3 linked regions of the Xenopus tropicalis genome follow. The protein of the gene in region 2 purifies or fractionates together with the protein of the main gene of each other region. This does not show direct contact. Links are inferred from orthologs where the notes say so. Each region holds a gene or a part of one and is shown on either strand. Other genes may lie near its edges.

Region 1 (3,654 bases), on a different chromosome or scaffold from region 2:
ACAAGGCGTATTGATCATCATCACCACCATTAAAACGTCACAGTTGCTTCCCAATGACTGCAATTAGAAGCACCAGGATAAAAATACATGGAAGGGAGAGGGCCCTTATTACTTCCTGGGTGGCTGATCACCTCCCAATGACTAATTGCAATATGGTGGAAACACAAGGCTGTCTGGCGAATTCCTAGATAGTAAAGGAGAATCTAAACTCAAATTCTGGGACAATCAGCTCTACAGCAAAAAAAAACAAAAACTTGGAGATAGAAAAAGCTTGGATTAGTAACTTGTAATATAGACATGTTTCTGATTTTAAAGTACAATTAAAGGTGAAGATTTAAAAACAAAATATATTTTTGGCAGCATGGAGCCATACTCACAGTTCTCTTGTTTGGCTCCCAATTCCTCCACTGCTTCTATGTTATGGATCTCCAGGCTGGCAGGATATTCTGCTTTGCTTATGTTTTTCTTGCCAACATAAATGATATGCTTAAGGCCTGTGACTTGTGAAAGAACACTCTGAAAATGCAAAGAAAAATACAGACAGTGCTTCAGGTACGGAAGTAAAAATATGTATTGGTGGGTTTCTGTTTGTTTTCTTATCCTGGGTGTTTTACTGTAAGGAATATGCAGAAGTATCTATACACACCTTCAACTTAGTCTCTAGAAGTTCAGCACTGGTAAAGAGATAGCTTGCTCCAGATTCATTTAAGCCATATGCTACTGCTTCTTCTCCAAGTGTTGCGTACAAAGTCACCACTGTTAGGATTAAAAACAATTTATATGTAATAATAAATTTAAAGTAATGTAAAATAGGATAATGCTTGCCAGGCTCTTAACAGCTTTTATACAATACATCCTTCAAATGTCAGACATCTCTTCCAAATTGCTATTTTCAATACAGCTGCTTGGGGCTTCAGCCTGGCACTGAGGAAGGCCACACTTCAGTGGGCCCAGTAGATAAAATAAATTCCGAGATATTATACTGCTCTACAGTACAAATGCCTCAGTCAAAAACAAATACTATGGTTTTTTGCCCGGGCAGGGCAGTCAGGAACCAGGAGGGGTGATGTTGGGGATATACAGGAAATACATATCTGCAAATGAACGTTAATAATATGGGGAAGTCTAGGGAATTTTAGCTTCCTCTATATAAAACAAGTTTGCAAGTTTTGTGGCTTAGCTAGTCAGCAAAATGTTATAGTGGGTAACAGGACACAGGCAGTGCAAATAATCTGGAAAGCAGTGACACATACCCTACCCCCAAGTGTTGTCTGTTATAGTGAACAACACAATCATTTAATCTGGCACGCTGGTTCGCAATATTGGAATTATAAATGCCAGCTACATCTTAAGCATTTCAAAAATATGCTCCTTTCAGAGTTAGAAAACAAGCAGAATACCAGTCCACTTATTAATCATCTCCCACTAAAACTATTGCAAAATCTTGGAATTCATTACCCTGTGACTTTGGATACTCCCCTTCCATTAAAACATGCCTCTTCAGTAAAGCCTGCAAACTTACCCAATATTACATCAGATATGGGACATCTCGTGGCACATCAACCTCTACAAATTACATCTGCTCATTATTCCCTTACTAGCACGCTCATAACACTGTGGCTTCCGCATCTATACCTTAGCCATATATGTTTCAGTATTAGCAAAACCAGTGAAAAACTAAAGTGGCACACAACAGTAAGAGGAGACAAGTCTAGACACTCTATAAGGAGGGAGTGGAATTACTGCAAGCAGCCCAGCCTCAAGAACAGCTGAATATATACAATTTCCTACCATTCCATTCTTTAAGAAATGTAACATTTATGTGACAATAAGGTAACAGAAATAAATATATCACAAGGTAGTTCTTTTGGGGGCCCTGAAAGTGTGCAGTGGTGGCCCTAAATGGAATCACGTAATGCCTTACGTGGGATCCAATAATATTTTCTACTCCATCATGGTACATTATAGGGGTTACGTAAACAAAATGCACAAAGTTTTCTACAGGTCAAGTCACTAATGGCAATCACCAGGTAGCATTTACTTGTTATCTGTATAAGAAGCAAACTTGGTTGATGTGGATTACTGCACCAGGGCAAACTTTGTGCCTTTTTTTTTTTTACATATAGGGGCAATTTTCTTAAAAACAGTGCAAATTCTTCTACTTGCCGGATAGGCTAATGCAACTATAATTGGTGACCTTGGCAAATGACAGAATCATATAGTGTATGGCCTTCTTAAGTTATATTCTAGCAAAGCAGCTTGGCTTTTGTACCGCAAACATGCCTGCTATGCATTCAGTCATTCATTCATGCATGCACTTAGGGAGGGGAAGGATTGTCTTGCACGTTACAGTTTCTGTTGCACTTGCTAAAACCAGTACTAGCCTATCCTTTTGACAAGAGTAAATAAGTGGAGACAGATAACATCTCCGTTTAGTTAAGAATCAAGAATGATGATGACATAATAATATACCAATACACCAGTTTAGAAAGGGGCAGTAAACCTTATGTAAAATATTTAAATCTCACAGTTGATTAAAACAAAAGGCCAGGCCGGTCTTTTCTAGGAGAGTCTTCATTCAAACATTATCTTTTTGCTACTAAGTTGATCGCCTATGGAAAAATATTTGTCTTCTTCAAATTGCTGTCCCACAAGTGAGAAAGCTATCAATACATGCTTTTAAATGGAGCATGTCCCAGAAAAAGGGCAGACCTTTTATTTTAAGCAGCCAGAAAAGCTTGCAAAACTAACAGAAGTATGATGAGAAATGATTCAGGGTTTTCCTTGGAACAATGTGAAAGGTTAAACACTTAAAATACTTACAGGGAAAATTGTATTTAAAGCATGCCTGTGCAGTAATCATCCACTCTGCTCTGGTCTCACAAAATATTGCAATTGTGCTCTTTGGTTTCAAACCTAAGGCAGACAGGCCACTCCCAAGATGGTGCACTCTTAAGCTTACTTCTTCATAGCTAAGCCATTTGTATTCTCCCAAAATTAGCTGCAAAACACAGGACAATAAGTATACAGGTAAGTCATGCATTACAAAAATAAACGGTCACATCTAAGAAAGTCTACAATATCATTGCCATTTCTAAAAAAGTGTATATTGTTGTGTTTACATTCTTACTGAAATATCAATGGATTTTCCTCTGTCAGAGGGTCTTAAGCTACAAACTCCAGAAATTTGTTTTTTTAATAACTGAAGCTTGTGAAGTTTCAGGTTCAGGTGAAATACAAAACAGTTACTGAATAATACCCCAAAATATAACAGTTGGCTGCACTATAACCTAAAAACTGTGCCGTTTTAGGTCATGAAACAGAGAACCCATGTGCAATTCAATACAGATGACAATGAAAAAGGACTAATGGGAATTTGAAGTCTAATGCTTGCCCAACTTGTTGAAGAAAAAAAATAAAAATCAGGCTGGGCGGATCATGTAGGAAGAACTTGAATCTAATGACATATAAAGCAGCTGAGTGTTCGGCGAAAGACAACCATCTACTGCAACTCAGTTCAACAGCTGAAGCTAGACCATTTTAAATGGTACACACTATGGGCCTGCAACCCTTCCATGCAAGTGAGCCCTTAGTCCTTCATCCAGTCTGATATTTTCAATTGATCTAGCTGGAATTATCCTAAAAGTAAATAAT
Region 2 (4,211 bases):
GAATTATTTGCTTAAAATGTACTCTGCGAGAGATGGCCTTTCCATAATTTAGAGCTTTCTGTATAAAGTATCCCATAAATGTATTTGTCAATGTCTTTTTTCTTTACCCCTCTGTTAACTCTCATCTAGCATGTATGATCCTAATCCAGCTAGTCAGTATTTACAAATCAAATAATAGATCTTTTTTTTTTATTCCCTATTCCTACAAGGTCACTACCCTTAAATAAAGCATTTTGTATTAGTGGCAAGAATGCAGAGCTCTGCAGTTGTGTCCACATATACCATCTTATGACCTCTTTTTAGTCACAGGGATCAGCTCCCCAGGCATGCGCACTAGAGACAGATCATTCTAAGACTACAACAGGGGTCGACAATCACAGCAATGTAAGCAGCTTCCTAGTTATGCCAAATAGGAGATTATAAGTCCAGAAAGGAATTTAGTTATGTAAAGCCTAACTTCACCTACAAAAAAGTAAATAAATATGTTGCTCTCCAAAACACAATAATCTAGAATGTAAGAAAAAAATCTTTTAAACTGGGCACACAACAATGATGTGAGGAGGAGGCAGGAGGGAATTGTAGCAATGAGAGATATTATTCAGAAAGTAGTTCCTTGTAAAAATAGTTCAGCTTCCCTTGTCTGCTACAAATGATATTCTTATAGCCTACTCTTCAGAGATTAGGAACTCTGAAAAATAGTTCAGAACTGGTCCAGTATGAACCATTCATATAGGAACTGTAGTATTTTATAATTACTACTATTTTATTTATTATCCAGAATACTGAGACCTTTTTTTCAGGTTTTTCCATAATTTCAAGTCTACTAAAAAATTCAAACATTAAATAAGCCCAACAGGATTGTTATGCCACTAATATAGATTCGTACAGCTTAGTCATCAGCTAGTACAAGCTACATTACAGAGAAAGCATAAACAGAATTAGAATTATTTGCTTAAAATTGATCTTATTGGATATGGCCTTCCTGTAATTTCTTCCTGTAAGTTCATTGATAAGAGATCCCATACATGCACAATAACATGCATCCCAATGGTGTACATGTATAGGACCCATTATCCAGAATGCTCGGGACCAAGGGTATTAAGGATAAGGGGTCTTCCATAATTTGGATCTCCATACCTCTACTAAAAAATCAATTAATTAAGGATTATTTATATCTTAGTTGGAATCAATTACAAGGTACTGTTTTATTTCTACAGAGAAAAAGGAAATCCTTTTTAAAATTCTGAATTATTTGATTAAAATGGAGTCTATGGGAGACAGGCTTTCCGTAATTCGGAGCTTTCTGTATAACGGGTTTCCGGATAAGGGATCTCATACCTATACTAAAATATACAATTCAGACATGAATTCAAAATTTAGGAAGTACAACTGTGCATTTTCTGTTTTACCTATAATTCAGAATACTTACAACCTGGGTTTCTGGATAAGGGATATTTCCATAATATAGAGCACCATTCCTTAAGGCTACAAAGAAAATTTATATTTTAAAATAACCAATAGAAATGGTTTTCCATTAACATGGATTTATGCTAGCATAATTGACATTAAGCACAACATACTGTTGTCTTATTAGAAAGGATAAGCAAATCATTCATAAACAAAAAATAATTTGCTTTTGGTTAAAGTTGGTAACAGTTTTGTTGATACTAGATCAGCTTTGTGGATAACAGATCTCATACCTATGCAATTCCTTGTTTTACCAAAATACACAAATGCCAATTATTTTAGTACTGAGAACAGCAAATCCAGAGAAATGGGTTGTTATGTTTTTTACAAAAATATAATTCTACTCAAATGTGTAGCTCTGGAAATGAGAAATCAAGCAAACAGTGACAGAGATGTTAGATGAGATATACAGATAGAATGTACCTGTACAAACAAACCATTTCTGGCTATACTTCCTAGCGCCACAAAGTCACATACTGAGTGTTAGCTGTGGGTTTAATACCACAAGGTTGGTTGAAAGTCAGGGCAGTAAAGCAATAATGTGGTGTTGTGTATGCCAGGTTCTTGGCATAATAATCTATAATTACAATAATTGAATAAAGTAAGCTTGTAATAGCAAATACACACATATACCTAACACACAAACCTTTATCTATATGTATTATAAATATATGTATATTACAATTATAAATATATGTATAATAGCACTTTAACATCAACATAATGTACATACGTGATTATACCGCACGGTCCCACCACTTTCTTCATTTGCAGCTAGCATAAAAGTCTGACTTGCCAGAAGCACCTCAGTTCTGTATCAGTACATCCCACAACAATCCTGTCGCACAGTCAGAGCGCACAGGGATGCTCCGGCCGGATACCTCAGGGAGCATTACATGTGCAGGTGGGGAGCCAGCAGTCCGTCACTTGTGTGGCATCTGTACGTTCCTGTTTGCAGATCCCATCCCATCCCAATAGCCTACACGTTTGCTACACTGCCCACAGGAGAGGAAATCATTATACTTGCCAATGATAAGAAGAGAGGGGAATCTGTTGTGATGCACTAAGTTCCCCCCTAGCAGCTACAGGACACACACAGCCGGTGTTGGTACTGCAGCCTCACAGTTGCTGCTGCTGCTGCTGCCAATGCAAGTATCCTGTGTGCTCCCGGCTAGTGCATGGGCTGACCATAGAGTACTGGAGAAATAGGAATCGCTGAAGAGGCCCCTCCTGTGGTATCCAAAGAATATAGCAGCTATTCACCAGCCAGACGCCGGGGGAAAGAGAGAATCCTGTAAGGAGGAGTCTCTACATATTAGACAAGCTTGAAGTTGCTAGCGAGGCCCCATGAGGGCCTTTTGTTTGGCAGCCTGCAAGAGACAGCATGGTAAGGGAGATGAGGGAGGGAGGGAGAGCAGGGAGGGGAGGGCTGTGTGAGGGATGAGGGGAAGGGAACAATTGCATCCTGAAGGGGTGGGAAACTGGGAGGAGGAATGAAGGCTTAGCACTGATAAAAAGGGGGAGTGGAGGAGGGTCTGCAGTAGAAGGAGGAAAGCAAGAGAAACCAAGTGTATGTCAGGGACCAAGTAGCAGGAACAACAGAAACATCATCTAGGAAAGGTAAGATAAAAGTGTCCCAATCCCCTTTAGCACAGCCTTGAGTATATCCATAAATATTGTGCGCCGCTCTATTATTTCTCCATGGCCACATTTCAAGCAGCTACAACATGCCTCTCCCTTCGTCCTCCCTGCTTCAGCATCAGTGCATGTTTAGTTGACCATACCGGGGCAGGGCTGCTTTAAGGTACCAATGGGCCCAGGGCAGGAATTAGTGAGTCCGACATCCAAGTAACAGAACTATCATAAAGCAAGAGAATTTAAATGAATATTATAAGATAGGCTATAAAAAATAGTCTGAGAATCAGTCACGCTGGGCTGGAGGAAGCACAATCCTTCCATAGACTGGAGTACTGTTTTTACTTGTAGTAAGCCTATGGAAGGATCACGCTTCCCCCATCCCAGTGTGACTGAAACAACTACAGAAGAGCCTTTATCCTGTAAGTATCGCTAGGATGGGAGCAGCTTTGCTGTACTTTTGGCCAGGGGCAGCAGAAAATGTTTTTGGATGGGGGGCCAGGTGGGAAGGATTTGCGGCCCGAGTAACGCCCTTAAGACTCCACCCACTTTAAAGTGTGTTTTCACCAAATTTGTAGAAAACCAAACATTTGCCTAGTCTGGTAACCCAAGACAAAGCAATTGTAAGATTATAATTGCAGTTAGCCAACAGATGGCTGGTTGCTATGTATGGGTTATATGACCTCAGCAAACCTGGCACCATTTACTACATTTCTGCTTAAAAGTAGAAATTGATGGAACAAGGGAGCTATATACCAGGTAAATAAGTTTTAGTTTATTTACTTTTGATAAAGTTATAGATAAAGTTTTTATTTAAAGAGGGTGAGAATAGGCTAATGTTACACATACCGTGTGGAGCATGTTTTTGGCAAGCCAAAATCCGCTTGACGAGATTACGCTACATAGGATTAAAAATCCTCCTACCTGTGTCTGCACCTGAATGCATTGAATATAATCAGGTGCGGGCACATGTAGCCGATATCTGCCGAAAATGCAAAGTATTCTGGATATAGGCTACATGTACCTGCACCCGAGTGTATTCATTGCTGGTGCAGGCACAAGTAGGAGGATTTTAACCGTATGTGGCGTATTGTCAGCAAGCAGTTTTT
Region 3 (3,654 bases), on a different chromosome or scaffold from region 2:
ACCATAAGTTAATGTATAATATTGTATTGTATAAAAATTTAAAAAAAAAAAGTTAGAATCCAGTCCCAACAACTACATTTTGACATTTCCTTTGATTTTTGCATTGGCAGTTGAGACCCTTGCTCAGCTTATAAGACATGACCTACATATTTCAGGAGCTGGGAGAAGAATGAGGATATATGACCTCACTGCCAAGGCTTTTTGTATCAAGTAGTAGAGTCATTGCAGGTCCCTCTGCATTAACACACAATGCAAAGCCCATAGGTAAAATGGAGGATTTTTTTCTTTCAAAGCTAATTCCCTACAACAAAGCATATCTCTGACACACTACACACTGCCCCCTTCTTCATACTAAAAAAAGAGATGGGTACAACTAGAAGCCCCCTATAAAACACATAGCATCTAACATCCCAAATAAAGAATCGTTTTATAAAAACTATCAACCTTACTTCATACCACATACACATTAAGAAACATGGCTATTATGATTTTACAAGCTTGGAAACAATGTAGGGTAGAAAGGATCTCTCACCACGGTCTGTTCGCCTACTTGTGCAGGACATCCTTTATCATAATATTGTTTACTGCTGTACCAACTTACCATTTTCTTTCATATTTTTGGGGTTTACATCACCTTTAAGGTAAAAAGTACCACCATTTCCATGCTAAAGTTGTAGAAGTTCTGCAGCATGAGAGACTATCCTGAGCCTAGGTAAATGTACATATTAACATCTTCTGCCAATGACTAGATCTTGCCACTTATATTTAGAATTCTGCTTACCTTCTAGACATTGACCTTTGAAGTATACTTTCTGTTCAAGTCTGAACTTCTCCATCTGCTCCGCAGAAGAGAAATTTAGCTCCCTAGAAACAGCTTTACACTTTAAAATTTTCTTTGGTACTCGAGCTGCAAAAACAGAGAAGAACTTAAACAAACTATGTATTGTGATATAACCAAGTCCCTATCAAAATCACTGGGAAATAGCTTCTGAAGACTGGAAAGTGTTTTAAAGGAGAACCTTCTGCATTTTATGAGCTTTTACTAGCTCTTACATAAAAGGGTTGTTCACCTTTAACTTTTAGTATGATGCAAACAGTGATATTCTAAGGCAATTTGCAATTGGCCATCATTTGCTTTGTGGTTTTCCGCTATTCAGCTTTTTGTTTAGCAGCGCTCAGGTTTTGTAATTTCTGCAGCAGATTGCTATGGTTTTGTTTACCTTAGCAACCAGGCAGTGGATTAAAAAAAAAAGCCTGTAATACGAATAAGAGGTACAGAAGAGAAAGATTAGTAACAACAATAATAAAACTGTAAGCTCACAGAGCAATAGTGTCTTGCTGTTGGGGTCTGTGAACCCATTTGAAAGCTAAAAAAAAAAAAGACATAGAAGTGGAAGACAAACAATTTAGAATTTTTAAAACTATAAAAAAAGAAATAAGACCACCAACTGCAAAGTTGCTGGGAATATTCACAAAGGTGATCCACCCCTTTAAAGGAGAAGGAAAGGCAAAGTCACTTGGGGGTGCCAAAATGTTAGGCACCCCCAAGTGACTTTAATTGCTTACCTTGTACCCCGGGCTGGTGCCCCTGTTGGGAGAGAACAGCACCAGCCCGGGGTAGCTGTAGCGAGCGCTTCCTCCTTCCTACTCGCGCTGCTGCTGTTTGTCCCGGACAATCGCATGCGCAGTAGAGTGAAAAGCCGACTTCTCTGTTAAAGTTCAGCTTTTCACTCTACTGCGCATGAGCACGCAGCGATAAAGGAAGGAGGAAGCGCTGCAGCTACCCCGGGCTGGTGCTGTTCTCTCCGTACAGGGGCACCAGCCCGGGGTAAAAAACATATTCCTTTGAATACTTGAAACCCTGCTGCATTACTGTGAAGCTAAATGGAACAATGAAACAATACCTCTGTATCCACCAGGAATGGATCTACATGCCTGCTGTTACACGTTTGCTTGCATGTATCCATTATTAATTTACTAACGGCTATACCAATTCTCTGGTGACCTGTCAGTGTGTTAATGTTTTTGAGTGTTTCATAAAGAAATACTAATTCATATGCCTTTGAAATCTATGAAATATGCTGTCTATACCATTTGTTATTCCCTTGTATTTGAGTAGTATAACTGTTATGACACAATGAAACAACATTAACTGAGCATAATACATTACCTTCGTGTTCAACCCCTGGAACCGACAGGTCCTCTGTACCCTGCCACAAAATTTTCCCAGTTTCTGCATCTCGGAGATTCATCCAGTTCCTGATAATGTCATCATTAAGGAAATTCAAGTGAAATATAGAACACTCTTTTTATTGCTAAATCTGTTGAATGCACTGTAAAACTAAAACAGAGTACTAAAAAAACAAATCTGTTTTACAAATCTGTTCATTATCCTTTTCCTGTAGTTTTTGAGATATTAAACAGCCTAGAAGCTTGCTTCCTCTACCTTTTCCTTTCTAGCACTAGAGCTGAGTATTCTGAGTTTCTCGAATCGGTTTTTCAAGGTGGCCATACACTGGGCGATTTCAGCTGCTGATACCAGTCCTTTACAATGGTTCGCCAGCTTATCTGCCTGCGGAGCCCCTGACTGAACTGTACTGAAATTGGCCAGCTCTCAATCAGGCAGGTTTGATTTTTCCATTGAATCGGGGACTGCATAGGATCTGGATCAGTCCCCAAACTGATGGTGGTTATAGAGCTGGGCGGTATGACCAAAAATTTATATCACGGTATTTTTCAAAATTATATCGGTATCACGGTATTTGACGGTATATAAATAAAAAATAAATAATAAATAATAAATATTGGTGGGCCCCCCCCAACCAGATAATTTATATCTTCTATATTAGAGATACTTATATATAATTCACTCCCTGGATGTGCGTCCTGACAGGCAAGAAATCAGCCAGTCAGCACACATACAGAGCAGATTCCTGGATTAAAATGCATAGCGTTTTCATGTTCAAATCTGGATTCATTGTGGTTGTTAATTTAACTACATTTTTGTGAAATGAAAGTGCTATCAATGTCACTGTTCTGTACTGATCAGTGCAACAAATAACAGAACCAAAGATGGCTCGTAATTAAAACTTTAGGCAGAAAGTATGTTAAATACAATAGAGAAAAGTTGCATAAATTCACCACCAGGAGGCAATGTGCATAAATGAACTATTTATCAACCCAGCCTTCTATAACAAACACACCATCACTTAAGCCCTCCAGCGATGCGTCCTAGCGACGTCGCGTGCGCGCTGACGTCACGTACGCACGGGCGCAACCCGGATATAATTGGAGAAAAATAGCAGGAGGCGCGCATACCGGTATAGCGGTATGTTGAAAATTCATATAGTTTTTTTTTTAAAAAAACTGGTATACCGGTTAAACCGGTATACCGCCCAGCACTAGGTGGTTATGCCCACTGTTTGAATTCAATTTTTCGTCCCTAGAGCCAAACGGCCAAATTGGCCTAATATTGCCCACCCAAAGGCGGGCATATCGGGAGAAGATCTGCTCGCTTGGTGAGCTCACCAAACAAGAATCTTACAGTGTACCAATAAGTTATAATTAACGCAATTGCACTGAAACTTCTCAGTAAACTGGACACAACTGCAATGAATGTTTTCCAAGCCAGGTTGACTTAATTTCTGGCATTCA

The links.
Region 1: the proteins of fbxo10 (region 2) and acsl4 purify together in Homo sapiens (affinity purification with western blotting; 3 studies listed by BioGRID, with this or other methods). This does not show direct contact. The link is inferred for Xenopus tropicalis from reciprocal best matches to the Homo sapiens genes FBXO10 and ACSL4.
Region 3: the proteins of fbxo10 (region 2) and retinal rod rhodopsin-sensitive cGMP 3',5'-cyclic phosphodiesterase subunit delta purify together in Homo sapiens (affinity purification with mass spectrometry; 3 studies listed by BioGRID and IntAct, with this or other methods). This does not show direct contact. The link is inferred for Xenopus tropicalis from reciprocal best matches to the Homo sapiens genes FBXO10 and PDE6D.

What each region holds. Positions count from the first base shown.
Region 1 is NC_030684.2:51,167,260-51,170,913, forward strand, and holds part of acsl4 (long-chain-fatty-acid--CoA ligase 4), read right to left. Parts: intron 3,002-3,654; coding exon 2,824-3,001; intron 757-2,823; coding exon 647-756; intron 517-646; coding exon 378-516; intron 1-377. UniProt on the Homo sapiens protein: Catalyzes the conversion of long-chain fatty acids to their active form acyl-CoA for both synthesis of cellular lipids, and degradation via beta-oxidation. Preferentially activates arachidonate and eicosapentaenoate as substrates.
Region 2 is NC_030677.2:109,017,652-109,021,862, reverse strand, and holds the start of fbxo10 (F-box only protein 10), read right to left. Parts: upstream 2,941-4,211; 5' UTR 2,201-2,940; intron 1-2,200. UniProt on the Homo sapiens protein: Substrate-recognition component of the SCF (SKP1-CUL1-F-box protein)-type E3 ubiquitin ligase complex. Mediates the ubiquitination and degradation of BCL2, an antiapoptotic protein, thereby playing a role in apoptosis by controlling the stability of BCL2.
Region 3 is NC_030681.2:101,158,267-101,161,920, forward strand, and holds part of retinal rod rhodopsin-sensitive cGMP 3',5'-cyclic phosphodiesterase subunit delta, read right to left. Parts: intron 2,260-3,654; coding exon 2,171-2,259; intron 908-2,170; coding exon 782-907; intron 1-781. UniProt on the Homo sapiens protein: Promotes the release of prenylated target proteins from cellular membranes. Modulates the activity of prenylated or palmitoylated Ras family members by regulating their subcellular location.